Anolis sagrei: one gene and its partners. The protein of the gene in region 1 purifies or fractionates together with the protein of each later gene. This does not show direct contact. Links are inferred from orthologs where the notes say so. Each region holds a gene or a part of one and is shown in the gene's direction. Other genes may lie near its edges. The genes, in order: POP1, RPP38, RPP30 and POP7.

Region 1 (6,932 bases):
TATATGTAGTAAGCATATCTGACGGTCTAGTATAATCTTGAGAGTCAGGGTAGTATAGTGATAAGTGTTGGACTAGGGTTGCATCTAAATTTGTGTTTCTCAACCTGGGGGTCGGGACCCCTGCGGAGGGGTCAGGAGGGGGTTTCAGAGGGGTCACCAAAGACCATCAGAAAACACATATTTCTTAAGGTCTTAGGAACCCCTTTTGCATAGTCGTTTGAATTCACAGTGTTCTCCAGATGTAGGTGAATTACATCACTAAATCACTGTCAATCCACCCCAAATCCCTCCAGTATTTTCTGTACACCCTGGGGGTTCTGTGTGGAAAGTTTGGCCCAATTCTATCTTGGTGGGGGTTCAGAATGCTCTTTGATTTTAAGTGAACTATAAATCTCAACAACTACAATTCCCAAATGCCAAAATCTATTTCCCCCAAACACCACCAGTGTTCATATTTGGGCAGATTGAGTATTTGTGCCAAGTTTGGTCCAGATCACAGAGCTCTCTGGATGATGGTGAACTACAACTCCAAAACTCAAGGTCAATGCCCACCAGTATTTTCTGTTGATCATGGGAGTTTTGTGTGCCAAGTGTGGTTCAATTCCATCGTTGGTGGAGTTCAGAATGCTCTTCGATTGTAGGTGAACTATAAATCCCAATGACTACAACTCCAAAATGTCAAGGTCTATTTTCCCCAAACTCCACCAGTATTCACATTTGGGCAGATTAAGTATTTGTGCCAAGTTTGGTCCAGATCCATCATTGTTTGAGTCCACAGAGCTCTCTGGATGTAGGTGAACTACAACTCTCCAAAACGCAAGATCAATGCCCACAAAATCCTTCCAGTATTTTTTGTTGATCATGGGAGTTTTGTGAGCCAAGTTTGGTTCAATTCCATCATTGGTGGGGTTCAGAATGCTCTTTGATTGTAGGTGAACTATAAATTCCAGCAACTGCAACTCCCAAATGACAAAATCAATCCACCCCAACCCCATCAGTATTCAAATTTGGGAGTATCGGGTATTTGTGCCAAATTTGATCCAGTGTATGAAAATACATCCTGCATATCACATAATTTACATTATTATTTATAACAGTAGCAAAATTACAGTTATGAAGTAGCCACAAAAATAATTTTATGGTTGAGATGTAACCCCAGAAAGTCCCAAAACACTGACACACAAGTAAAGATCATTCACTTGTCACTCACAGCTGTAAGTATACCTTATTCTTGGCCCTTTTTCCAAATGGCATATTACTTTCAAATATATTTTGAAGAGAAAAAAAAAAGAAAGGAAGTCAATATTTATCTTCCTCAATTTCTGGGATCTTTGGTTTTGCAACGAAAGCTGATAAATCTACATCCTCCTGGTAAGCCTTGCATTTGTGAAAGATCTTTGTTTTCACAAGAGAAAAAAATCTCAGTGCATACTAAGCTTAATCATAACTTTAGGTTTGAGACTATGGAACAAATCAATGGTTTATTCAGTGAAAAATGGAAATGGAGAGATAACAAACCCTCTGAACCAGCACTAGTTTTCCTCTCCTTCACTACATTGATATACAGTTGTCCTTCTGCAGTTTTGATTTTCGTGGCTTTGATTATGCATTGATTGAATTTAAAATGTTATGTTCTACACATTTCGAAGTCCTCTAATGCAGTTCTATGGTCAGCTCACTGCAGAAGTTGATCATAAACTTGTGTCGGAAGACCTAGACATTCATAGAATTAATGTATACACACACACACACACTTCTTTCATTGTGCATTTAAACCAATATTAGATAATCACATGTGCTTTACTAGTGGATTCCTATTGGGGAGTTAGGGCCCTTTCACACAGCTATATAACCCGGAATATCACTGCAGAATAACCCACAATATCTGCTTTGCACTGGAATCTCTGAGCCCACACTGCCATAAATCCCAGTTCAAAGCAGGTAATGTTATAGCTTTTAAATTGTAATCCATATTGCTTTTAGGGCTGCAAGCCACTTTTATTTAATGCATTGTCGAAGGCTTTCATGGCCGGAATCACTGGGTTGTTGTAGGTTTTTTCGGGCTATATGGCCATGGTCTAGAGGCATTCTCTCCTGACGTTTCACCTGCATCTATGGATTTTATTTATTTATTTATTTGGATCCTGCTTTATCTCTCTATTTATTTATTTGGATCCTGCTTTATCTCTCTATACTAAGACTCAAAGCGGCTCACCATCAAAAACATTCCTACTTAAAATATGCAAATATACACTAATATATCATTATATATTATCAGAAATAATTATATTTAATATATTAGTATTACTATATAAAGGTAAAGGATACCCTTGAAATTAAGTCTAGTCGTGTCCAACTCTGAGGGGTGGTGTTAATCTCCATTTCTATGTCTGTAGACGCCTCCAAGGTCATGTGGCCAGCATGACTGCATGGAGCACCATCACCTTCCCGCAGAAGCTGTACCTGTTGATCTACTCACATTTGCATGCTTTCAAACTGCTAGGTTGGCAGAATCTAGGGCTACCAGTGGGAGCTCACCCCACTTTCCGATTCCAACCGTCAACCTTTTGGCCAGCAAGTTCAGCAGCTCAGCGGTTTAACCCGCTGTGCCACTGGAGAGCCCATAGTATCACCATCTTACAATATTATTATATATTATTATATTGTATTATTAGTATTATATTGTGACCACATTATAATATTATCAGTATTATATGTATATATAATATATTATATTATTAGCATAGCACAATATTAGTATTATATATTACTATATTGTACTATACTGCAATGTTATTAGTAATATTACATGTAAAGAAGGCCGGAGTGAAGAGAGCGGGGCCAGGAAGGCAGTTCCATCTTGTCTCCTGTGCTATACTAATAATATAATATAATATATTGTATATACGGGGCCCTGGTGGCACAGTGGGTTAAAGTGCTGAGCTGCTGAGCTTGTTGACTGAAAAGTCACAGGTTCGATTCCGGGGAGCGGTGTGAGCTTCTGCTGTCAGCTCTAGCTTCTGCCATGCTAGCAGTTCGAAAACATGCAAATGTGAGTAGATCAATAGGTACCGCTCCGACGGGAAGGTAACAGCGCTCCATGCAGTCATGCTGGCCACATAACCCTTGGAGGTGTCTATGGACAATGCCGGCTCTTCGGCTTAGAAATGGAGATGAGCACCACACCCCAGAGTCAGACCTGACTGGACTTAATAATATACATATAGTAATATATAATACTGATATTGTGCTATGCTAATAATATAATATAATGTAATATAATATAATATAATAATATAATATAATATATATGTTGTAAGCTGCTCTGAGTCCCCTTTGGGGTGAGAAGGGCAGTACATAAATAAATAAATAAATATTATATTATTATATATTATTATATTGTACTAAATTATTATACAGCATATACAATACACTACCAGTATATAATACTATCAGTATTATATAATATATTGAAGGCAAGATATAAATAAGCATCATTATCATATAACAAAAGCAATTCAGATCAAACCAGGCAACAAAGTCCATCTTGTTTGACTGATAGGATTCCCCTTGAGCTTGTCTCATCTTCCTCTTCCCAAGCAGTCTTATAGCGCGCTTCAACCGCATCCAGCAGCGGGGAGTTCCGCAGGAGAACGGTTGACTCCTACCTGTAGGGTCCTATGGCGGCAGGAGCCTTCGCAGAAGTGATGATCCTCTTCACTAAGGTGGCCATGATCAGATTGATCCTTTCTGAGTCCACTCACAAGCCGAAAAGAAAACCTAGCAAGTGAGTGTAAGAACTCAGCCTTGCCTCCCGGACTTTACCCGTCCTCCTCCCTTGGCCCCGCCCTCCTCTAAAACTCGCGCGCCATTCATTCAGCAGTATTGAGAACCTCCCCGCCCACCGTAGCCCTCCCGCGAGAGAGAGAGTTTTGGAGGAATGCAGTCTCGAGGAAGCCGGAAGTGGGCGCCGCGCGTGGCCAGAAGAGAAGCGGAGGGGGAAAGCTGACTGATTCTCTCCTCATTTGAGGCCTAGGCCAGTATCGCAGGTAAAAGGGGATAAGACTGAGAGGAAGAGGGAAGCAAGGGAAATGGGGCCACAATGGGTGCTTCTACATCAGGCCTGGGCAAACTTAGGCCCTCCAGGTGTTTTGGACTCCAACTCCCACCATTCCTAACAGCCTCAGGCCCCTTCCTTTTCCCCCTCAGCTGCTTAAGCGGCTGAGGGGGGAAAGGAAAGGGCCTGAGGCTGTTAGGAATGGTGGGAGTTGGAATCCAAAACACCTGGAGGGCCCAAGTTAGTCCATCCCAACAGAAGGGACCCCAAAGAGGGTCATCCAGTCCAGCCCCTTTCTCCCATCCAAACACTAACCAGGGCTGTCTCTGCTTAAGTTTCAAGGTCAGGTGGGTTCTTGGCAAGATTTTGCAGGGATTGTCTTTGCCTTCCTCTGCATTATATAGTTTTATTGTACAATATATACATTATATTGTATTATTATTATTGGCGAACAAATTGAAACTGAATCCAGACAAGACAGAAATACATCTGGTCAGTCGAAAGGCCAATTAGGGCATAGGGTTGCAGCCTGTGTTGGATGGGGTTATGCTTCCCCCTGAAGACGCAGGTTCGCAGCTTGGGTGTGATCCTGGATTCATTCGCGCTCTAAGTGGGGCTGCCTTTGAAGATGGTTCGGAAACTTCAGCTAGTTCAACGGGCGGCAGCCAGATTACTAACTGGGGCGGCATACAGGGAGCATACCACCCCCCTGCTATGCCAGCTCCACTGGCTGCTTGTCCATCTCCGAGCCCAATTCAAAGAGCTCGTTTTGACCTATAAAGCCCTATATGATTCGGGCCCAGCTTACTTGTCCAAACGTATCCACACCTACGTCCCACCTCGTAATCTAAGATAATCCGGGGAGGCCCTTCTCTCTCTCCTGCCAACGGCACAGATGCACCTGGTGGGGACGAGACAGGGCCTTCTCGGCTGTGGCCCCCTGCCTATGGAACACACTCCCAAATGAGGTGAGATCCGCTCCCTCCCTCCTGGCTTTTAGAAAAAAAATAAAATCATGGTTTTGGGACCAGGCCTTCGGGCAGTAGAAATAAATGTATGCAGCATTTCAGAAAGACAACTACTGGAACGGCGATTCAATGGATGAGACTTGTTTTATTGTTTTAATGATTATTTTATTGCTCATGGATCATAGAATCAAAGAGTTGGAAGAGACCTCATGGGCCATCCAGTCCAACCCCCTGCCAAAAAGCAGGAATATTGCATTCAAATCACCCCTGACAGATGGCCATCCAGCCTCTGTTTAAAAGCTTCAAAAGAAGGAGCCTCCACCACACTCCGGGGCAGAGAGTTCCACTGCTGAACGGCTCTCACAGTCAGGAAGTTCTTCCTCATGTTCAGATGGAATCTCCTTCCTTGTAGTTTGAAGCCATTGTTCTGCGTCCTAGTCTCCAGGGAGATTTTTAAATTTAATTTATGTCTAATTGTAGTGTATAATTGTAATTGTTTGTACTGGCATTGAATTTTTTGCCATTACTTATCTGTAAACCGCTTTGAGTCCCCCTCGGGGTGAGAAAAGTGGTATACAAATACTGTAAATAAATAAATAAATAAATAAATTCATTGTTGAGCCTGGAACCCCTGGTTTCCGCCGTGATCATTTACACAGTTAAAGTTCGTGCGCCAGCTGTGCCCGTACCTTGGAAAGTCTGACTTGGCCACGGTAGTCCACGCACTGGTTGCATCCCGTATAGACTAATGCAACACGCTCTGTGTGGGGTTGCCTTTGAAGACTGTTTGGAACCTTCAAATGGTCCAGCGGGTGGCAGCCAGGTTGCTAATCGGAGCAGTGCTCCAGGAGCATACAACTGACATTCCAGGGAAAAAGTAAAGACCTGGCTTATTGAACAAGCTTTTGGAAACACAGCGTAATAGATAAATATGGTACTATGAAAGACTGAACATGGAACGGCTTAGACGATGCTAATGGAAAATGAGTTTAACTGGAAGTTATATTTTTAATGGTTTTTATGTGGTTTTTATATGGATTTTTATTATGTTATGTTAAATGTTTTAATGGTATTTATGACTGTTGTGGCATCAAATTGCTGCCATTTTGTAAGCCGCCTTGAGTCACCTTTGAGCTGAGACAGGTGGGATAGAAATACTGCAAATAAATAAATGAATTATAGGGCAGTGTAGACCCAGCCTGGAAAAGTAATCATAATCATAATAATACTTTATTTGTAACCTGCCCTATCAATGCGAGGGGATTCAGGGCAGTTTTCAGGGACTAACAAAATAGCAAACATTCAGTGCCAAAAACAGATGAACAACAAATCAAACCAGAAACAATAGATACGACAATCTCAATATAAGCCTATGAACTAAACAAAAAAAAAACCCTCAAAATTAAAACTTAAATAAACATAATCTAACACATCACATACATTTACTGCGATAAAATCCCACATGTTACAAGTTAGACCAAGAAAACATTAAAAGCATAATGTAGTTTATGGCTTCCAACGAGCTGAGGTAGGTGTCCAATATCTGGGCAAGAGTATATAAAAGATGTATTACTCCTCCTCCATAAGCTAAGGTGCATAAATGGGTGGCTTTTTCCAACCAATACTACTGAAAGGGGCCTACGTTGACTCAGCATCTGGCTCTGCAGTTTGAGGATAGTGGATCCAAGATAATAGAAGACAAAAAACTGTCAGTATTGAACTAACCAAACATTGAGATAAGTATCAGTTGCTAGGTCTATTCTTTTGCAGCAGTCCACTTGTGATATATTTAGTGTAATTTCTTTCACTAGATCAGGATGTATTCTTTTAGGTATTCATCAGCTTCTCTGACTGCAAGTGCCTTACATGTTTCTCTCCTGGAGCTTAATGCATTTGCTGTGCAGTAG
Region 2 (7,391 bases), on another chromosome or scaffold:
ATACTGTGCCCGGAATAAGATCACGTTTGATGCAAACAGCAGAGCATGGGAAAGCATGAAAGGAGGGCAGCCAAATGCACTCTCCAAATAAATCCCTGAAAGCCATGGCTTAGTATTGCTCAAAATTGAAATCCCAAAATCCATGGGACAAGGCAAGTTCTGGGTGCCCCAAGCAATTTCACAACCTTTTTTCATCCTGTAACCATCACTAATTAATTTCCTTTGCATAATTAATTGTGTGGGAAGAGTAAGATGAGGTTATATATAGCTTATGCATTCAGCCCTGGTTACCATTTTAAACCGAGGCATGAAACATGCAACACTCTAGATCAGGCTAGGGCAAATTTGGACCTTCCAGAGCTTTTGGACGTCAATTCCCACCATTCCTAACAGCCTCAGGCCCTTTCCTTTTCCCCCTCAGCCGCTTAAGCTCCTCTCTACGTGGGGTTGCCTTTGAAGACTGCTCGGAAGCTTCAAATGGTTCAACGTTCGGCAGCCAGGATACTAACAGGAGCGGCACTCAGGGAGCACACAACTACTCTGTTGCGCCAGCTCCACTGGCTACCAGTTTGCTACCGAGCACAATTCAAAGTGCTGGCATTGGCCTATAAAGCCCTAAACGGTTCTGGGCCAAGTTACCTATCCGAACACATCTCCGCCTATAAACCCACTAGGACTTCAAGATCCTGTGGGGAGGCCCTGCTTGATCCCGCCTGCAACACAGGCACGTTTGGCGGGGATGAGGGACAGGGCCTTCTCAGTGGTGGCTCCTCGGCTGTGGAACGCCCTTCCCACGGACATTAGATCGGCTCCCTCCCTAATGGCATTTCCGAGAAAAGTGAAGACCTGGTTATTTGAACAGGCGTTTGGATAGGCAGTGCAATGAAGATATGAATAAAGGAAAACGGAACAACGGATGATGAGTTTGGATCATGATTCTATTATGAGATGCTAATGAGATGTTTATTGATGTTTAATTGCTTAGTGTGTTATTGTGTTAATTGTTTTTAAATGGCTTGTATGATGTTAGCATTGAATTTTTGCTGTTGCTGTTGTTAACCGCTTTGAGTCACCTAAGGGCTGAGAAAAGCGGTATACAAATGAAGTAAATAAATAAATAAAAGACGGTACTGACTGCATTTCCCATCATTCCTCACCAGTGGCTGTGCAAGCCAGAGATGATGGGAGTTGCAGTCCAACAAAATTTGGAGGACACTCTTCTCCTTCCCCATCTAAATGTATTATTATAAAAATATTTATTTATTTCCTCTTTCCTCTCTTAAAAGAGGATCAAAGTAGCTCACGAAACAGTACAATGTAAAATTTACCCTCTACTACATACAAAACATATTCAAAGGCAGTCCATAGTGGAGTGCGTTAAAGTGGATCGGCTCTTTCAAATGTTTTTTTTTAATCATGTCAGAAGCGACTTGAGAAACTGCAAGTCGCTTCTGGTGTGAGAGAATTGGCCGTCTACGGGGACATTGCCAAAGGCGACGCCCTGGATGTGTTACCATCCTGTGGGAGGCTTCTCTCATGTCCCTGCATGGCAAGGTGGAGCTAACAGACAGGAGCTCACCCCATCTCATGGATTCAAACTGCTGATCTTCAGGCCAGCAGTTCAGCCGGCACAAGGGTTGAACCCATTGCACCCCCCCCCCAGCTCCTAATGATCTTAGTGACAACTGCTGATGCGAGTTGTAGTTCAGCACCACAGGAATAGCACTGGTATGTGACTCCTGTGTCTACAAGCCTGGGCGTAAGAGAATGCAAAGCCATAATAGCCAAACCCATTTGCTCATCATCAATATGTGCCTCCAAGGCCATCCTACAAATTTCATAGTGTTTAATTAGGTAAGGTGGTTTTGCTAATTCCTGCCACTGAAACATAGCCTACAGCATCTGTTATATGGTGGTCTCCCATCCAAGCACTAACCAAGGCTGGCCCTCCTTAGCTCACACAGTATCTGGCGCATTTAGGGTATTCAGGCATGTGAAGAGTGTATCCCATATCACTGTTAACCTGTCAAATTAGAGCCAGTCCTGGGACTTAGCTCAGGTAATAAAGCATTATAGTCTTATATGGGAACAAAACTTTTAAAATTCAGAATTATTCTATACTGGGGAAGTAATGAAGTTTAACAACCAACCCTCTGCATGCCCTGAGTTTATACTAGAGAATATCGGGAGTTGAAGTTTGACAAGGTTTTCAGCATTCAAATAGGAATGACACAGAAAACTACAACTCCCAGGACTCCACAGCATTGAGCCAAGTGGTGTCAAACAGCATTCAATTCTGCAGTGCAGATGAATCACCCCCCAAAAAATAAGCTCCTTTATTTTCTTACCTGGAGAGGCATGCTGCTAAATTCCTGAATGAAAGGCACCACCTCACTCACTCTCCTACCAAAAGTGCCTCTGCTCTCCAATTCTGACTGCTTTTGCAGCAGCCCCTTTTATATCCCCGGCTTCAGACCGTTCTCGCCCCTCATTGGTCCAGGGCCATTGTGACGTCACTCACGCAGTCTTCCAAAACAAAGCACCAGCGAGGAGGCGTCTGCTGCCTTGGAGGAGAGGAAGGCAGTAACTGATCTAATGTAACGCGTTACTGGCTGCAGAGTAACGAGTTACCAACGAGTGAGGGTTCCACTAAACAGGGCAACCATATCCTGTTTCAATGGGATTTTCTACACTGCAGAATCGAAGTAGTTTGACAGCACTTTAAGTGACATGGGAGATGTAGTTTTCCTAGGGATAAGGAATCAATTCAGTGTGAGCTCACTTTAATTGTCATGGCTGGAAGCTATGGGACCCTGGGATTTGTAGTTTGGAGAGGTCTAGGGAGGATTTAGTCACAACCTCTGAGGATGCCTGCCAAAGATAATATATTTATTATACTGTATATACATATAATATTGATAATAATATTATAATGTAATACAATATAATACTACTAATAATATTACAGTATAGTGGTATAGCACAATATAATAATATATAATACTAATATTGTGCTGTGCTAATAATATAATATATTGTATACACATATAATATTGATAATATAATGTAATACAATATAATAATTATATAATTCATATTACATGTAATATTACTAATAATATTGCAGTCTAATGGTATAGCACAATATAGTAATACGTAATACTAATATTGTGCTGTGCTAATAATATAATATATTGTATACACATATAATATTGATAATAATATTATAATGTAATACAACATAATACTAATAATAATACAATATAAAATTATATTTTTATATTACATGTAATATTACTAATAATATTGCAGTATAGTGGTACGGTACAATGTAGTAACACACAATACTAATATTGTGCTGTGATAATAATATATTGTATACACATATAATATTGATTATATTATTATGTAATACAACATGCTAATAATACAATATATTAGCACAACATAATACTAATACATAATACTAATATTGTACTGTGGTAATAATATATTGTATACACATATAATATTGATAATGTTGTTATGTACTGCAATATAATAATAATACAGTCTACTAATAATATATTTCATATTACATGCAATATTACTAATACTATTACAGCATAGTGGTATAGTACAATATAGTAATACATAATGCTAATATTCTGCTGTGCTAATAATATAATATATTGTATACAATATAATATTGATAATATTATAATGTAATACAATATAATAATTATATATTCCATATTACATGTAATATTACTAATAATATTACAATATACTAGTAGAGTACTATATGGGAATGTATGTTACTAATATTGTGCTATGCTAATAATATAATATATTGTATTTACATATAACTTGTAAGCTGCTCTGAGTCCCCTTTGGGGTGAGAAGGGCGGCATATAAATGTCGTAAATAAATAAATAAATAAATAGATGCAGGCGAAACGTCAGGAGAGAATGCTTCTGGAGCATGGTCAAACAACTCGGAAAACTCAGCAACCCAGAGGCTAAACATCTGGAGGGACTTGAGTTTGCCCATACCTGACCTAAACTCTAGAATGAATGCAGTTTGACACCACTTTATCTGACATGGCTCAATGCTATAGACTAGTGGGAGTTGTAATTTAGTTAGATATCTACATTATTTGGCAGAGAAGGCGAGAGACCTTATAAAACTACAACTTCCAGGATTACAGAGCATTGAGCCACGGCAATCAAAGCGGAACCAAACTGCATTAATGCTGCAGTGTAGATGCTCCCAGAAGGAAGCCCAGTTCAGCACAGTGGGAGTAGTAAACAAAGGCATGCGGTGAAAACATGGCCCCACAGCGCCCTCTAGAGGCCAGTGGAGGGAGAACAGCCACTGACTCACTTCTGCTTTGTAGACTCCGCCTAAAATTGAGCCGGAGAGCCAGCCTCTTCCGCTTCCCTTCCAGCACAACCGTGTGAGTACAATCACTTTGCCTTTTTGCGTGTTTTTAGAGGGTTTTAGAAACTGAGAATCGGAGTAGCATTTGTGGGAAGAGGGGGGAAACCAGGTTAGGTGCTGTTTAGCAGGGCGAGAGTCTGCTGGTGATCCCTGGGCATGTTTTTAAAGCAGCCATGGCAGCCACGTGTGCTCTGGGGTGCATCCACACTGCAGAATTGGCGCAGTTCGACACCACTTAATGTGCCATGCAATGGGATCTTGGGTTTGTAGCTGTACACGATCTTCAGGGCTGGTTCCTCACCAAGCTACAACTCCCAGGATTTCATAGTGTTGAGCCCTGGGAGTTGAAAAGTGGTATCAAACTGCGTTAACTCAACAGTGTAGATGCACCCTATTACCACTCCATGAATTTGAGAGGGTTTTCTTAGGCAAGGAATACTCAGAATAGTCCTGAGTCTAGACCCGAGTTTGTATTATTATTGTTATTATTATTAGTGTTTTTGCCAGTTCTTCTGAAAATGCATCCTAAAGCTTGGTATTCCTTGGCAGCCTCCCATCCAAGGACTAACCATGGCTGACCCTGCTTAGCTTCTAATTTCAGGCAGTAATTGGTGCTTTTCATGACCTGCTTATTCGATTTGGGACAATGAATAATAAGAATTTCAGGTTAGAAGAAAGGCGAGCAAGGTCGAAAACCCCACTAAGCCTGAAGTTTCTCGCTGTTTCTCAAACATGAACATTTGTGCGTTATGTTTGGTACTCCCCTACCCTCAAAAGGTTGGCGGTTTCAATTTGAGGAGCAGGGTGAGTTCCTTCTATTAGGCCCAGCTTCTGCCAACCGAACAAATTGAAAACATGCAATTGTGAGTAGATCAATAGTTACCGCTTCTGCGGGAAGGTAACGGCGCTCCATGCAGTCATGTCGGCCACATGACCTAGGTGTCTACGGACAACGCCACACCCCAGAGTTGCACTCGGCTAGACTTAATGTCAGGAAACCTTTACCTTTACCTAACCCCAAATATTCCCAAGATTTTCAGTATTATTTTTACATTCAGGAAGCGACCAGGCTTTGAAGCTGCAAGGCCATTCAATGCTAATCAAGGTGATCATTTGCAACATTCACGCTTGCCTCAAACAGACAAGAGTCCTTTCTCCCACCCTGGACATTCCACAGATATATAAACCCCACTTGCCTAGTTTCCAACAGACTTCACAACTTCTGAGGATGCTTGCCATAGATGTGGGCAAAACATCCATTCCTTCTTTCCCATCTTTCCTTTTCTCCTAACTTCCCTCCCATCTCCTTTCCTCCCCCTTCTCGCTCTTTCCCTCCCCCTCTGTTCCTTTCTTCCTTCTCTCATTACTTCCTTCTTTCTCCCCTTTTACTACCAACATTCCATACATCATGCTCTGGAATCAATAGGGAAGATGCCACTTCTGAGGAGCCGCTGCCTTTGCAAAGAATGGCAGCGATGTGCCCTTTTCTCTCTGACTTCTGGGGCCAGGGTCACCGAGAAAGAGGAGAGGAAGGAAGGCGCGCAAGAGAGGGGGAGAAGGAAGACAAGCGTGCAAGAGAGGAGAGTTGGGTTGCTGTGCAGACGTGAGGATCCTGGCGAGAAGGGGCTGAAAGAAGGGCTTCTGGACTGTTGTAGGTTTTTTCCGGGCTATATGGTTCTAGAGACATTCTCTCCTGACGTTTAGCCTGCATCTATGGCAAACATCCTCAGAGCTTGTGAGAAGGGCTTCTTTCAGCCCCACACCTTCCTGCCAGGACCCTCACTCGAGTATAAGCCAAGGGAGGCTTTTTCAGCCCTAAAAAAGCTGAAAATCTAGGCTTATACTTGAGTATATACATAATATTTTCTTTCACTAGGCTCTTCCATGTTCAGATTCCACCTGAACATGAGGAAGAATTTCCTAACAGCGAGAGCTGTTCAGCAGTGGAACTCTCTGCCTCTGAGTATGGTGGAGGCTCCTTCTTTGGAGGCTTTTAAACAGAGGCTGGATGGCCATCTGTCAGGGGTGTTTTGAATGCAGTTTCCCTACTTCTTGGCAGGAGGTTGGACTAGATGGCCCACAAGGTCTCTTCCAACTCTATGATTTCCATTCCCAAAACAATATATGCTCTTTTTAATATGATGGGGTTATTTTCTGTGGCAGGCTCTGTCTGCTTTATTTATCCTTCTCTCTGCTTTTCATCCTAACATCAGAGTTTGGAAAAGTACCTTTTTAGTAGAAAGTCTCAACCACATTGGCTTGGGGATTCTAGGACTTGTAATCCTAAAATATACCTTTCCAAGTGCTGCAAGGTATCAGCACACAATAATATGCTATAATGGTGCTGCGAGGAATAAATTCTACCATGGGTTGTTGTAGGTTTTTTCGGGCTGTATGGCCATATTCTAGAAGCATTCTCTCCTGACGTTTCACCTGCATCTATGGCAAGCATCCTCAGAGGTTGTGAGGTCTACCATGTTCAGACATTGTAGTTGTTTGGTGTTGTTCTCAATACTTCTTGCTGTTTTTAATCTAGAACTCAAGTGTGGAGGAATCACGAGAGCATCAGGATGTCTGCTCAGGAAGGGAAGGGGACCCTCCGCAAGTCAAAACACATAACTGTAAAGACATCTTTGAACAATCCCTTTGCCCTCAAGTGGCGCTCTATGGAAGGAGGAAATATGCACTTCATATTGGAGGCTTTGGAAGATATTCTGAAGCGTCTTGCTTTCAAAAAGGTCGAGCTTCGGAGGCGGAAGAAACCCTTCCATGGGCAAAAACAAAAGAAGGAACAACGCTGTGCCGATATAGGTGAGCTTCAAGACGAGAATGAAAACAAAGAGGTTCAACTACATGGCTGGACCAACGTGGAGATCAGAAATCAGCTTGCCATTGGGATTAATGAAGTCACACGAGCCTTAGAAAAAAATGAGCTACGTCTTGTACTGGTGTGTAAATCTGCCTCGCCT
Region 3 (7,426 bases), on another chromosome or scaffold:
ATTGATAGGTAGACACAAAGGGGAACAGAGCTTGGGTAGCCATTCCAGCTCCTGAAAGGTATATGTCTATCAGTCCTACCCAAAAGTCAATCAGTGGTGCAGATTCAAATTTCATGTTGCAAATTGTTTAGTATATATTATCTCTAATCCATTCAGGAAGTTTTGTCCACATTTTCCCATTGTGACTGTTTCTTTCATGAATTCCCAATTAAAATTTTTGAATGCTTTTTCTGCATCTAAGAACAGGAGGGCTCCTTATTTTTCACTACACTTATGAAAATATTCTATCAGATTGAGTATCATTCTCGTGTTCTCTCTCATTTGTCTTCTAGGTAAGAAACCTGCTTGGTCTTCATGTATCCATCCAGTTAGCACTTTTTTTAATCCAGCAGTTCTCAAAGTGTGCTCTGCAGAGCCCTTGGGGCTCTGTCTAGCATACTGAGGGACTTCGTGGTTCCCTTCTTCTTAGTTAAAATTGTTTTCCATTTTTAATATTGTATTATTTCTTTCCTTTTCCTTTTTTCTTGCACAATGAATAAGATATGTGCAGTGTCATTGGAATTTGTTAGATTCCCATTAATTAGATTCACGTGCTTTATTTAATTATTTAAATTTATGAAGTAGTTATTGTACTTGCCTTAGATGTTTTATTCTTGGGAGTATTCGTTCATTTTGTATTGTTTTATGGCATTGACTGTTTGCCATTTTTCCTAGAAACCGCCCTGAGGGAGATAGGGTGGGTTACAAATAGAGTTTATTATCATTATGATGATTATTACTGTTTTTTTTCAAGCAGTTCACACAAACACACTCCATCCATCTGCCCCTAGCCCAGTCTGCTGTCAAATTTTAAAATGCAATGTGTCAAAAAGTTTGCCCATGCCTGATATATGTACATAAAGGTAAACGTAAAGATTTCCCCTGACATTAAGTCTAGGCATGTCTGACTCCAGGGAGTGGTGCCCATCTCCATTTCTAAACTGAAGAGCCAGTGTTGTCCAGAAACACCTCCAAGGTCATGTGGACAACATGACTGCACGGAGCACCATTACCTTCCTGCGGAGCGCCATCACCTTCCCGCAGAAGTGGTACCTATTGATCTACTCATATTTGCATGTTTCCGAACTGCTAGGTTGGCAGAAGCTGGGCCTTACAGGGGGAGCTCACCCGCTCCCCAGATTCGAACTGCCAGCAAGTTCAGCAGTTCAGTGGTTTAACCTGGTGCACCACCAGGGGGAACATATTTATTTTTTATTTATTTACGACATTTATATGCCACCCTTCTCACCCCCAACGGGACTCAGAGTGGCTTACTATATATATATATATATATATATATATATATACCCACACATACACACACACACATATATACACATACATACAATATATTATATTATTAGCATAGTGCAATATCAGTATTATATATTACTATATTGTACTATACCATTATATTGTAATATTATTAGTGATAACACATGTAATATAAAATCTATAATTATATCATATTATTATTGTTATTATATATTATCCTATATATTATACTATATATACAGTATATATAGTATAATATGTTATTAGTAATATTACATGTAATATAAAATCTATAATTATAATATCATATTATTATTGCTATTTTATATTATACTCTATATTATACTATATATACATTTTATATAGTACAATATATAGGATAATATATAAACATTCTTGGGCTCCACGTAAAAGTTTTGCTTCCAAAAGAGTTCCATGGCTGAAAATGTTTGAGAACCCCTGCTTTAATCTATTTGCCTGTATTAAAGCAAATATTGTATAATTTGTGTTTAGCAATGAAAAGGGTCTGTAATTCTGTATTTGTAGGGGATCTTGATCTTCTATTGGAATCAGTATAATATTGGCTTCTTTGCAGAACCCCTACATTGCTTTTGCAGAACCCTAGGGTTCCAAGGAACACAGTTAGGGAACTGCGGCTCTAAAGCAAAATCATGTTGCCCTTGAGATATTGTTGAACTGCAATGCCAGCATTCCTTATGGTTGGCTCTACTGACCAGGGCTGCTGAGAAGCACAGTTAAAGTACATCTGCCAAACTTTTTATGATTCCCAGCCCTGCTGTAAACTGTCATCAAGAAAGTTAGCAGGGTAATGCCTCCAAGTACAAAATGGTGTTATATCCGTTCAAAGCATGGCACAAGGCTGGCCCTAAAGTTAGTGAAAGAGAAATGATCATCTCAGGATACCTAAGATGTCAAGCAGTTGAAGGGAGAATGAGAAAATTAAGCAAAAATTAGTTTTTCTGGGGAAAATAATAAAAAGTATTTTTTTAAAAAAATGAAAAAAATTGTTTTGAATCAGGGAGCACACGACTCCTCTGTTGCGCCAGCTCCACTGGCTGCTAGTCTGCTACCGGGCACAATTTAAAGTGCTGGCTTTAGCCTATAAAGCCCTAAATGGTTCCGGTTCGGCTTACCTATCCGAACGTATCTCTCCTTATGAACCTGCTAGGACTTTAAGATCATCCGGGGAGGCCCTGCTCTCGATCCCGCCTTCCTTGCAGATGCATTTGGAGGGGACGAGAGACAAGGCCTTCTCAGTGGTGGCTCCTCGGCAATGGAACGCCCTTCCCAGGGATATAAAATTGGCTACCTCCCTTCTAGCATTCCTCAAAATTGTTAAGCCCTGGCTCTTCAAGCAAGCTTTTTCTATTGGAGCATAATTAGATGAAAACGAATATATGGACAACGAATATATAGAGCATAATTAGACAAAACGAATATATGGACAACAATTTTAGTAAGGAGACGCCGAGGACTTTGTTTTTATAGACATTATTGTTTCTTTTATATTACATACTAAATGTTGAATTGTTTTTATAATTGTTTGAACTGTATTTTGATAATTGTTATGGCATCTAATCACTGCCGACTATGAACCGCCTTGAGTCGCCTCTGGCTGAGAAAGATGGTATACAAATGCGGTAAATAAATAAATAAATAAATAAATAAAAACAACACAATGCACATTTTCCTGTATTTATTTCCAAAACTTACATTATTTCTAAAAATGATGTAACTTTTAAAAATGTAATAATAATACTTTGTTTATATATTGCAATATCTCCCCAAAGGGACTCAGGATAGTTTACAACAAAAGTAACAAAGTGGCAAGCATTCAATGCCAAAATGTATGTATTATGTCCAAACATTAAAGTTTTTGTTTTGATGCTCCTTTTCTCAGTTCTTTCAGGGTCTTTCCACATAGCCATATCATCCAGAATATCAAGGTAGATAATCCACAATACCTGCTTTGAACTGGATTATCTGAGTCCACACTGCCATACAATCCAGTTCAATATGGATTTTATACAGCTGTGTGGAAGGGGCCTTATTTATTTATTTATTTACAACATTTATATGCCAGCTTCTCACCACAAAGGGGACTCAGAGCGGCTTACAAGATATATATAGGTAAAGGTTGTCCCCGGACATTAGGTCCAGTCGTGTCCGACTCTGGGGGTTGGTGCTCATCTCCATTTCTAAGCTGACGAGCAGGCATTGTCCGTAGACACCTCCAAGGTAATGCGGCCGGCATGACAGCATGGAGCGCTATTACCTTCCTGTTACCTTCTACTCAAATTTGCATGTTTTCGAACTGCTAGATTGGTAGAAGCAGGGGCTAACAGCGGGAGCTCATCCCACTCCCCGGCGTTGTCCGTAGACACCTCCAAGGTAATGCGGCCGGCATGACCGCATGGAGCGCCCTTACCTTCCCGTTACCTTCTACTCACATTTGCATGTTTTCGAACTGCTATGTTGGCAGAAGCTGGGGCTGACAGCGGGAGCTCATCCCACTCCCCAGATTCGAACCTGCGACCTTTCAGTTTACAAGCTCAGCGGTTTAACCCAATGCGCCACCGGGGGCTCCCACAAGATATGTATGCATACAATATATTACATTATTAGCATAGTACAATATCAGTATTATATATTTCTACATTGTACAATACCATTATATTGTAATATTATTAGTAATATTACATGTCATATAAAATATATAATTATAATATCATATTAGTAGTATATATAGTCCTTATATCCCAGGATCTGATCCCAGATTATCTCCTTTGAACTGGATTATATGAGTCCCCACTGCCATATAATCCGGGATAAACAGATAATCTGGGATCACATCCTGGGATATAGGGCCTGTCTGGAAGGGCCCAGAGTTTACAGAATGGTATTGTATAGTATTAGTTGTGCCTATGTTTAGTTGCTCTTAAGCAAGCACAAACTACATTCATTTGGCATCTACTAAGGATGCTGGTGAGCTTGAGAGTCTACTGCTGGGGGAGGGAACTACAATCCCCAGCATGCAACGGGGCGCGATGTGGGCGGGGCGTGGAAGGGCTGCCTTTCTGGCCTGGCTCTAGCCCACGTGGGCGGGTGCAACATGGCGGGCTTTGTGGATCTGAACATCCCTCACTTGCCGGAGAAGGAGGCGCTTCGGAAGTTGGTGGAAACCGCGGCGCACCGTGAGTGTGTGTCAGGGGCAGGGAATCAGGCAGCCTGGGAATGCGTGGGAATGCGTGGACACGTGTTTCCCTCAGAGATCCAGACCCAGGCTGCGATAAAGGGCTGGCTGGCACTGTTTCTCCTTTCCCTTTGCTCTCTTTGGACCCTCTTCTGCCTTAACTAATTTGTCCCTTGGCTCCGTAAGAAACACCTCCTGATGCACTTTGACTTGGGTGCATCTACACTGTAGAATGAATGCGTTACAACTGCACTTTGCACTAGATCAATACTATGAGATCGTGGGAGTTGTAGTTTGATCAGGTCTTTAGCCTTCTCTACCAAAGGGCCCTTCCAGACATGCCCTGTATCTCAGGATCTGATTCCAGGTTTTCTGTTTATCCCAGATTATCTGGCAGTGTGGACTCATATAATCCAGTTTAAAGCAGACAACTTGGGATCTCTAGGTTGCTGTAGGTTTTCCGGGCTATATGGCCATGTTCTAGAAGCATTCTCTCCTGACGTTTCGCCTGCATCTATGGCAGGCATCCTAAGAGGTTATGACCTCACAACCTCTGAGAATGCCTGCCATAGATGCAGGCGAAACGTCAGGAGAGAATGCTTCTAGAGCATGGCCATACAGCCCGAAAAATCTACAGCAACCCAGTGATTCCAGAAATGAAAAGCCTTCGACAATAACTTGGGATCTGATCCTGGGATATAGGGCCTGTCTGGAAGGGCGAAACTACAACTCCCATGATCACATTGTATAGAGCCAGGGTAATAAATTCTTCAGTGTAGATGTAGCCCTTTACTGAGTCATCATATTCATCCATGTAAGGGCCCTTCCACACAAACCTATATTCCAGAATGTCAAGGCAAAAAATCCCTCAATATCTGCTTTGAACTGGGTTATCTGAGTCCACACTGCCATATAACCCAGTTCGAAGCAGATAATGTGAGATTTTATACAGCTGTGTGTAAGTGGCCTTAGCTGCCATATAAAATCCAGATGATCCGCTTTAACTGAATTATACGACAATGTAGACTCATATAATCCAGTTCAAAGCAGATAATAATTTATTTCTTACCCGCCTCTCTGCAGCCAAATAATGTTGGTTATATCTGCTTTGATAATCTGGATTATATGGCAGTGTAGAAAGGTCCCCAGTTTCTGAATACAGATTGTCTGGTTTAAACGGGATTATATGATAGTATACATCCAGGGCCCTTCTACACTACAGAATATCAAGGCAGAAAATCCCACAATATCTGCTTTGAACTGGGTTATCTGAGTCCACACTGTCATATATCCCAGATCAGCGTCAAATTATGTTATGATCTTACAAATTAATCACCAAAACATCATGTTTTACAACAAATCAACAGAAAAAGCAGTTCAGTATATGGTAACGTTATGTAGTAATTACTGTATTTATGAATTGAGCACCAAAACATTGCAATGTAGTGAAACAGGTGGGAGGCAAACTGTGTTGGATAATACAAAACACTGGATGAGCGAAGGTTGGATAAGCGAGACTCTACTGTAATAATTAGATTTCTTATCCGCCTCTCCCTGCGGCTCAGTCATGTGGATTATCTGCTTTGATAATTTGGATTATATGGCAGTGTAGAAAGGCCCCCATTTTCGGAATCCAGATTATTTGAACTGGATTAGATCGAGGTCTCTTCTACACTGCCAGTTGATCCAGAATATCAAGGCAGAAAATACCATAATGTCTGTTCTGAACTGTGTTATCTGAGTCCACACTGCCATGTATTTCAGTTCAAAGCAGAAAATGTGGGATTTTATTGAGGTGTGTAGAAGGGGGCACAGAATATCAAAGCAGACAATCCACATTATCTGATATCTCTTTCCGCTTCTATCCCCATCTACACTGCCCTATCATGCAGTATGGTCAGTGTAAATGCATTTCAAGGCATTATATGAATCTACACTAACTATACAAGTAATGTACACAACATACTTTGAATGATCACAAATTGCAAAATGAGTGATTCCTTTTCTTGCTAACATACACCGAATTGAATCAGTTTGCACCAAAATTTAATTCCTTTGTGTTTGCTTGGTATACAAGGAGCACTTCATATAATCAATGGATTGTTATTTTTATGATGATTTTTTGAAATTACTCTTCTTGTGAAAATAAAATTCAGCTTATTGGCTGAAGACCTCTGAGGTTTGGATGTGATGTTGTCTTAACTACTTTATAATGACAATAATCTATATATATAAATTTGTTAGGGGCATCCAACGAGGAAACAAAACTCAAAAACCCCCCAACGAAACTTAACCAAAATTCCCATGCCCATAACACAACCCACAAGGTACAAACATATCTACTCAAAATGAAAAACAACACAACAGCACACTCACAAAACGGCAAAACAACAAAACTCAAAAAACCCCCAATGAAACTTAACCAAAATCCCCGTGCCCATAACACAACCCACAAGGTACAAACATATCTACTCAAAATGAAAAACAACACAACAACACACTCACAAAACGGCAAAACAACAAAACTCAAACATCCCCCAACGAAACTTAACTAAAATCCCCGTGCCCATAACACAACCCACAAGGTACAAACATATCTACTCAAAATGAAAAACAACACAACAACACACTCACAAAACAGCAAAACAACAAAACTCAAAAATCCCCCAACGAAACTTAACCAAAATCCCCGTGCCCATAACACAACCCACAAGGTACAAACATATCTACTCAAAATGAAAAACAACACAACAACACACTCACAAAACGGCAAAACAACAAAACTCAAAAATCCCCCAACGAAACTTAACTAAAATCCCCGTGCCCATAACACAACCCACAAGGTACAAACATATCTACTCAAAATGAAAAACAACACAGCAACACACTCACAAAACG
Region 4 (6,951 bases), on another chromosome or scaffold:
AAAAAGAGGGGAAGGAAGGAAAGAAGGAAGGAAGGAAGGAAGGAAGGAAGGAAGGAAGGAGAAAAAAGAGGGGAAGGAAGGAAGGAAAAAGAAAGAGGGGAAGGAAGGAAGGAAAGAAGGAAGGAAGGAAGGTGAAAGAAAGAGGGGAAGGAAGGAAGGAAGGAAGGAAGGAAGGAAGGAAGGAAGGAAGGAGAAGGAAAGAGGGGAAGGAAGGAAGGAAGGAAGGAAGGAAGGAAGGAAGGAAGGAGAAAGAAAGAGGGGAAGGAAGGAAGGAAGGAAGGAAGGAAGGAAGGAAGGAAGGAGAAAGAAAGAGGGGAGGGGAGGAAGGAAGGAAGGAAGGAAGGAAGGAAGGAGAAAGAAAGAGGGGAAGGAAGGAAGGAAGGAAGGAGAAAAAAGAGGGGAAGGAAGGAAAGAAGGAAGGAAGGAAGGAAGGAAGGAAGGAAGGAAGGAAAGAGGGGAAGGAAGGAAGGAAAAAGAAAGAGGGGAAGGAAGGAAGGAAGGAAAGAGGGGAAGGAAGGAAGGAAAAAGAAAGAGGGGAAGGAAGGAAGGAAGGAAGGAAGGAAGGAAGGAAGGAAAGAGGGGAAGGAAGGAAGGAAGGAAGGAAAGAAGGAAGGAAGGAAGGAGAAAGGAAGAGGGGAAGGAAGGAAGGAAGGAAGGAAGGAGAAAAAAGAGGGGAAGGAAGGAGAAAGAAAAAGGGGAAGGATAGAAGGAAGGAAGGAAGGAAGGAAAGAGGGGAAGGGGGGAAGGAAAGAAGGCAGGAAGACAAAAGAAAGAGGGGAAGGAAGGAAGGAGAAAAAAGAGAGGAAGGAAGGAAGGAAGGAGAAAGAAAGAGAGGAAGAAAGGAAGGAAGGAAGGAAGGAAGGAGAAAAAAGAGAGGAAGGAAGGAAGGAAGGAAGGAAGGAAGGAAGGATATATGGAGGGAAATGTATGGTCCCTTTTACCCCCAAATTTCTGTCGTTTTATATATGTAGCCAACGTCGTTCTATTTCTCAACAGATCACTGAAATCATTCAAGGATTTTCTTTTTACTGTTTGCATTTTTCGGGATGTCAACAAAATAATAAATGTCTGGATTTTTTCTATTTTTCTGGTTTTGTACATTATCAGTCAAGGTTTGTTGTTCTTGTTTTACTTGAGAGTAAGGTAAACAAAGCCCGGGAAGACTGGATTCATAATTAGAGCTTTTCCTGCATAAATTGACCTTTTCCTAATTGTGTTGATGCAACAGAAACTACTCCGAACCCATTTTGCAGCCTTTGGAGTCTTTCTGCCCGGCAGAATGGGGTTTGGATTGGGTTGGATGGCCGTTGGGTGCCCCCTTTCAGTTCTGGGATATGGAGTCAGGTGGAGCCTGCTCCCTTCTAATTATAATATTACAATATTATAATATATTATTATGTCATATTATTAATATAATATAATATTGTAATATATAATATAATATTTTTATTATATTATATTTTTATATTATTATATTATTGTTGAAGGCTTTCATGGCCGGACTACTATAATAAATACAGTAATATAATAATAATAATAATTAGTATTATTATTATTTATTACTGTATTTATTATAGTAGTGTATAGTGTATATATATATGTAATTATTGTTATTATTACTGTAGTTATTATATTATTATTATATTTATTATATTATATTATAATATAATATTATATTACAATATTATATTATATTATAATATTATATTATTAATATAATATAATAGAATATATTGCTATATAATATTATTATATTATATTTTTTATTTATTATATTATTGTTGAAGGCTTTCATGGCCGGATTACTATTATAAATACAGTAATATTATAATAATAATAATAATAATAATAATAATATATTATTATTATTATTATTATTATTACTGTATTTATTATAGTAGTGTATAGTGTATATGTATGTAATTATTATTGTTATTATTTATTGTTAATATATTTATTATATTATTATATTAATTATAATATTATATTATAATATTATATTACAATATTATAATATATTGTAATATTAATATAATATAATATAATATAATATATTGCTATATAATATTATTATATTATATTATTATATTCATTATATTATTGTTGAAGGCTTTCATGGCCGGATTACTATAATAAATACAGTAATATAATAATAATAATATTAATATATTATTATTACTGTATTTATTACAGCAGTGTATAGTGTATATATATGTAATTATTATTGTTATTATTACTGTATTTATTATAGTAGTCCTGCCCTGAAAGCCTTCAACAATAATATAATTAATATAATTATATAATATTAAAATAAAATAAAATATTATTATATTATATTGTAATATAATATTATAATATAATATTATAAGAAATATAATAATAATATAATATTATAATATTATATAATAATATTATATAATAATAATAATATAATATTATATTACAATATAATATTACAATATAATATAATAATATTTTATTTTATTTTAATATTATATAATTATATTAATTATATTATTGTTGAAGGCTTTCAGGGCAGGACTACTATAATAAATACAGTAATAATAATAATATATTATTATTATTACTGTTTTTATTATTATAGTAGTGTGTAGTGTGTGTATATATATATATATATATATATATTTACTTTACTTATATACTGCTGTTCTCAGCCCGAAGGCGACTCACAGCGGTTCACAACAAATACAAACAGCAATAATTCAATGCAAAATATAACAACAATTAGCAACTTAACACATTACCCAATCAATAAACACTTACTACGATAACCGATCACAGTCGTCTCATTATCAAAAACATAATCCAGATTCGTCATCCATTGTTCCATTCGTATGTTCATTACCAATCATTGCACTAGTTATTCGAACGCCTGCTCAAACATCCAGGTCTTCACTTTTTTGCGGAATACCATTAGAGATGGTGCTAGTCTAATGTCTGTGGGAAGAGCGTTCCACAGCCGAGGAGCCACCACCGAGAAGGCCCTGTCTCTCGTCCCCGCCAACCATGCTTGAGAAGCAGGCGGGATCGAGAGCAGGGTCTCCCTGGAAGATCCTAAAGTCCTGGTGGGTTCATAGGCAGAGATGCAGTCAGATAGGTAGCTTGGGCCGGAACCGTTTAGGGCTTTAAAGGCCAACGCCAGCACCTTGAATTGAGCCCGATAGCAGATCGGCAGCCAGTGGAGTTGGCGCAACAGGGGGGTTGTATGCTCCCTGCGCTCCGCTCCTGTTAACATCATGGCTGCCACGCGTTGGACTAATTGAAGCTTCCGGGCCATCTTCAAGGGCAACCCCACGTAGAGAGCGTTGCAGTAGTCTAGGTGGGATGTAACCAGAGCGTGGACTACCGTGGCCAATATGTAATTATTACTGTATTATATCTATACTCTGCTTTATCTCTCCTCCAGGAGACTCAAAGTAGCTTAACATTACAACATTAGCAAACAATTCAAAATATACAATATGCAGACATTAAAACAGGATTAAATATAAACAATATTGAATATATGTATTTAAATATATACACACACACACACATATTAAAAATATGGGAGGACCCATAGTTTTGTTGTAGTTGTTTCACTTGTATATATAAATAAATAAGTAAAATATACTACTATTATTAATACAGTAATAATAATTTTCAAATCAACATTTTTCCAGTACAGTAATTTTAATTCTATTTAATTATAAATGTATTATTATTATTATTATTATTATAAATAAAGTTTATTATTGTAATTCTGTAAAATTCTTCCAAATTCTGTACTTACTCAGAGATTGTTTTGCTGCATCTCTCTCTTTTCCTCCAAAGCGACCCGAAAGTTAGACTCCTCTGAATCACTCTAACAAAAAATAGTCTAGATCTATGGTCTCTTTGCCTCCCTCCTCCCTCCCTCCCTTTCTACGTTGAACGTTCCAAGCGGAAACCGGAAATCGGCGAGACGCATGCGTGCCTGAAGCCAGGAGCAGCTGCCCTTTTGAGGGCATTCTTTTATTTTCCCGGGAAAAAAAGGAAAAGAACAACAAGGTGGGAAGCAAAGCAATTTTGCAAAAGGGGGATTTTGGGGAAGGGGAAGAGTCCAGGGAGGAGGGGATAGTGCTGCAGCAATGCTCAGAATCCTCAAGGCTATGGGGGATTTGGGGAGCTGTAGTCCACCAAGGGCTGGGAAATGCAGTCCAATACTAGTTTGTAAGGGGGATTCTGGGTTGGGGGAATGGTTCCCAGCTAAACAGGCTTCTGAAGGGAGGGGATTCGAGTAGTTACAGTCCAAAACTGGCTCTGGGGGATAATGGGAGTTGTAGTCCTCAAGGGGCTGGGAAATTTAGTCCAATACTAGTTTGTAAGGGAGATTCTGGGTTGGGGGAAGGTTTCCCAGCTAAACAGGCTTCTGAAGGGAGGGGATTCGAGTAGCTACAGTCCAAAACTGGGTCTGGGGGATAATGGGAGTTGTAGTCTTCAAGGGGCTGGGAAATGCAGTCCAATACTAGTTTGTAAGGGGGATTCTGGGTTGGGGGGGATTGTTTCCCAGCTAAACAGGCCTCTGAAGTGGGGAATTAGAGGAGCTACAGTCCAAAACTGGCTCTGGGGAATAAGGGGAGTTGTAGTCCACCAAGGGCTGGGAAATGCAGTCCAGTACTAGTTTGTAAGGGGGATTCTGGGTTGGGAGGGATGTTTCCCAGCTAAACAGTCTTCTGAAGGGAGGGGATTCTGGGAGATACAGTCCAAAACTGGCTCTGGGGGATAATGGGAGTTGTAGTCCTCAAGGGGCAGGGAAATGCAGTCCAATACTAGTTTGTAAGGGGGATTCTGGGTTGGGGGGGAAAGTTTCCCAGCTAAACAGGCCTCTGAAGTGGAGAATTAGAGGAGCTGCAATCCAAAACTGAGTCTGGGGGATAATGGGAGTTGTAGTCCACAAAGGGCTGGGAAATGCAGTCCAATACTAGTTTGTAAGGGGGATGCTGGGTTGGGGGGGGGGAATGTTTCCCAGCTAAACAGGCTTCTGAAGGGAGGGGATTCTGGGAGATACAGCCCAAAACTGGGTCTGGGGATAATGGGAGTTGTAGTCCACCAAGGGCTGGGAAATGTAGTCCAATACTAGTTTGTAAGGGGGATTCTGGGTTGGGGGGGAATGTTTCCCAGCTAAACAGGCTTCTGAAGGGAGGGGATTCGAATAGCTACAGTCCAAAACTGGCTCTGGGGGATAATGGGAGTTGTAGTCCACAAAGGGCTGGGAAGTACAGTCCAATACTAGTTTGTAAGGGGGGTGCTGGGTTGGGAGGGAAAGTTTCCCAGCTAAACAGGCCTCTGAAGTGGGGAATTAGAGGAGCTATAGTCCAAAACTGGGTCTGAGGGATAATGGGAGTTGTAGTCCTCAAGGGGCTGGGAAATGCAGTCCAATACTAGTTTGTAAGGGGGATTTTGGGTTGGGGGGAATGTTTCAAAGAGGCCTCTTAAGGGGGGGGGATTCTCCTTGCTGGAGAGAAATATGGAATATAAATAGACATAATAATAATCATAATAAAATATATTATTATCACTATATTATCTATATAAATAAAAATGTAATGTTTGTTTGCGGGATTAGCATAACTCAAAAACTACTGGACGAATTGACACCAAATTTAGACACAAAACAACTATCAGACCAACAAGTGACCATCACCCTAAAAATACAAAAAAACAAACAAACCAGCAGATAGATAGATAGATACACACATATATACACACATACACACATATACATACACACACACTTACACTCATATACATATACACATGCACACATACATCTACATATACACACATACATACATACATATACACACATACATACATATACATACATACATACATATACACATGCACACACAAATATACACATGCACACATACATGCACACATATATACACACAAATATGCATATAGACAAGCACACACATATACAAAATATACATATACACATATAAACACACAAATATATACACATCTACACACACATATATATACATACACATACACGCAAACACACATATATGCACAGATACACAAATATATACACACATATATGCACACACACAAAGCACATATATACAGACTGGACCACAGCAACATGTGGCAGGGGACGGCTAGTTCTATATTTTTAATATTATAATAATATAACATCAAAGTGACTATATTTTATATAATAATAATAATATTTTTGTTGTGTCAGTAGTGACTTTAGAAACTGCAATTCTCAATTATTATTATTATTAATAATAGTTCTCAATTATTATTATTATTATTATTAATAATAATAATAATCTATGTCTAACTTTTGTTCTGTGTATTTTAATATGCATGTCATGCAACTATAATATGTGTACTCCTTGGAGTGTTAAATGATTATGTGTTCTGGTTATGTGTTTTCCAATGTTGTAACCCGCCTCCAGCCCGGTAAGAAATAAATTATTTATTTATGTTATTATTATTGGCACAAAAGCAGAGTATGTCACAGCAAACAAGATCTTTATGCTGGATTTCGCATCACAGAATCGCAATCTGAACCCTTCCCAAGCGTCTAGGACTGTGTGATGTATTTTCGAATGATGCGTGTAAATCCAAGTCAGGTGGCCTTTTGCAGTTGACAGATTGTGATGTTGTCAGTGTTGATAGTTGAGGTCTTGATAGTGGCTGAGTTTTTCCTGTTGTTGACAGATCGTGATTTTGTCAATGTTTATGGTTTCCAAATGCCGGCTGAGATCTTTTGGCACGGCACCCAGTGTGCCCATTACTACTGGGACCACCTGGACTGGTTTACCTATTACTACTGGGACCACCTGGACTGGTTTACAAGTTACCTATCCGATCGCATCTCCGCCTACAAACCCACTAGGACTTTGAGATCTTCCGGGGAGGTCCTGCTCTCGATCCTGCCTGCAACACAGG

What was found.
Region 2: the proteins of POP1 (region 1) and RPP38 purify together in Homo sapiens (affinity purification with mass spectrometry; 3 studies listed by BioGRID and IntAct, with this or other methods). This does not show direct contact. The link is inferred for Anolis sagrei from reciprocal best matches to the Homo sapiens genes POP1 and RPP38.
Region 3: the proteins of POP1 (region 1) and RPP30 purify together in Homo sapiens (affinity purification with mass spectrometry; 5 studies listed by BioGRID and IntAct, counting the BioPlex papers as one, with this or other methods). This does not show direct contact. The link is inferred for Anolis sagrei from reciprocal best matches to the Homo sapiens genes POP1 and RPP30.
Region 4: the proteins of POP1 (region 1) and POP7 purify together in Homo sapiens (affinity purification with mass spectrometry; 3 studies listed by BioGRID and IntAct, with this or other methods). This does not show direct contact. The link is inferred for Anolis sagrei from reciprocal best matches to the Homo sapiens genes POP1 and POP7.

What each region holds. Positions count from the first base shown.
Region 1 is NC_090024.1:32,123,073-32,130,004, reverse strand, and holds the start of POP1 (ribonucleases P/MRP protein subunit POP1), read left to right. Parts: upstream 1-3,904; 5' UTR 3,905-4,049; intron 4,050-6,932. Other genes in the region: RIDA (2-iminobutanoate/2-iminopropanoate deaminase), read right to left, coding at 3,669-3,733. UniProt on the Homo sapiens protein: Component of ribonuclease P, a ribonucleoprotein complex that generates mature tRNA molecules by cleaving their 5'-ends. Also a component of the MRP ribonuclease complex, which cleaves pre-rRNA sequences.
Region 2 is NC_090026.1:104,826,696-104,834,086, forward strand, and holds the start of RPP38 (ribonuclease P protein subunit p38), read left to right. Parts: upstream 1-4,385; 5' UTR 4,386-4,438; intron 4,439-6,958; 5' UTR 6,959-6,992; coding exon 6,993-7,391. Other genes in the region: ACBD7 (acyl-CoA-binding domain-containing protein 7), read right to left, coding at 2,349-2,360. UniProt on the Homo sapiens protein: Component of ribonuclease P, a ribonucleoprotein complex that generates mature tRNA molecules by cleaving their 5'-ends. Also a component of the MRP ribonuclease complex, which cleaves pre-rRNA sequences.
Region 3 is NC_090023.1:184,795,410-184,802,835, forward strand, and holds the start of RPP30 (ribonuclease P protein subunit p30), read left to right. Parts: upstream 1-4,402; 5' UTR 4,403-4,447; coding exon 4,448-4,529; intron 4,530-7,426. UniProt on the Homo sapiens protein: Component of ribonuclease P, a ribonucleoprotein complex that generates mature tRNA molecules by cleaving their 5'-ends. Also a component of the MRP ribonuclease complex, which cleaves pre-rRNA sequences.
Region 4 is NC_090026.1:2,663,749-2,670,699, forward strand, and holds the start of POP7 (ribonuclease P protein subunit p20), read left to right. Parts: upstream 1-3,937; 5' UTR 3,938-4,050; intron 4,051-6,951. UniProt on the Homo sapiens protein: Component of ribonuclease P, a ribonucleoprotein complex that generates mature tRNA molecules by cleaving their 5'-ends. Also a component of the MRP ribonuclease complex, which cleaves pre-rRNA sequences.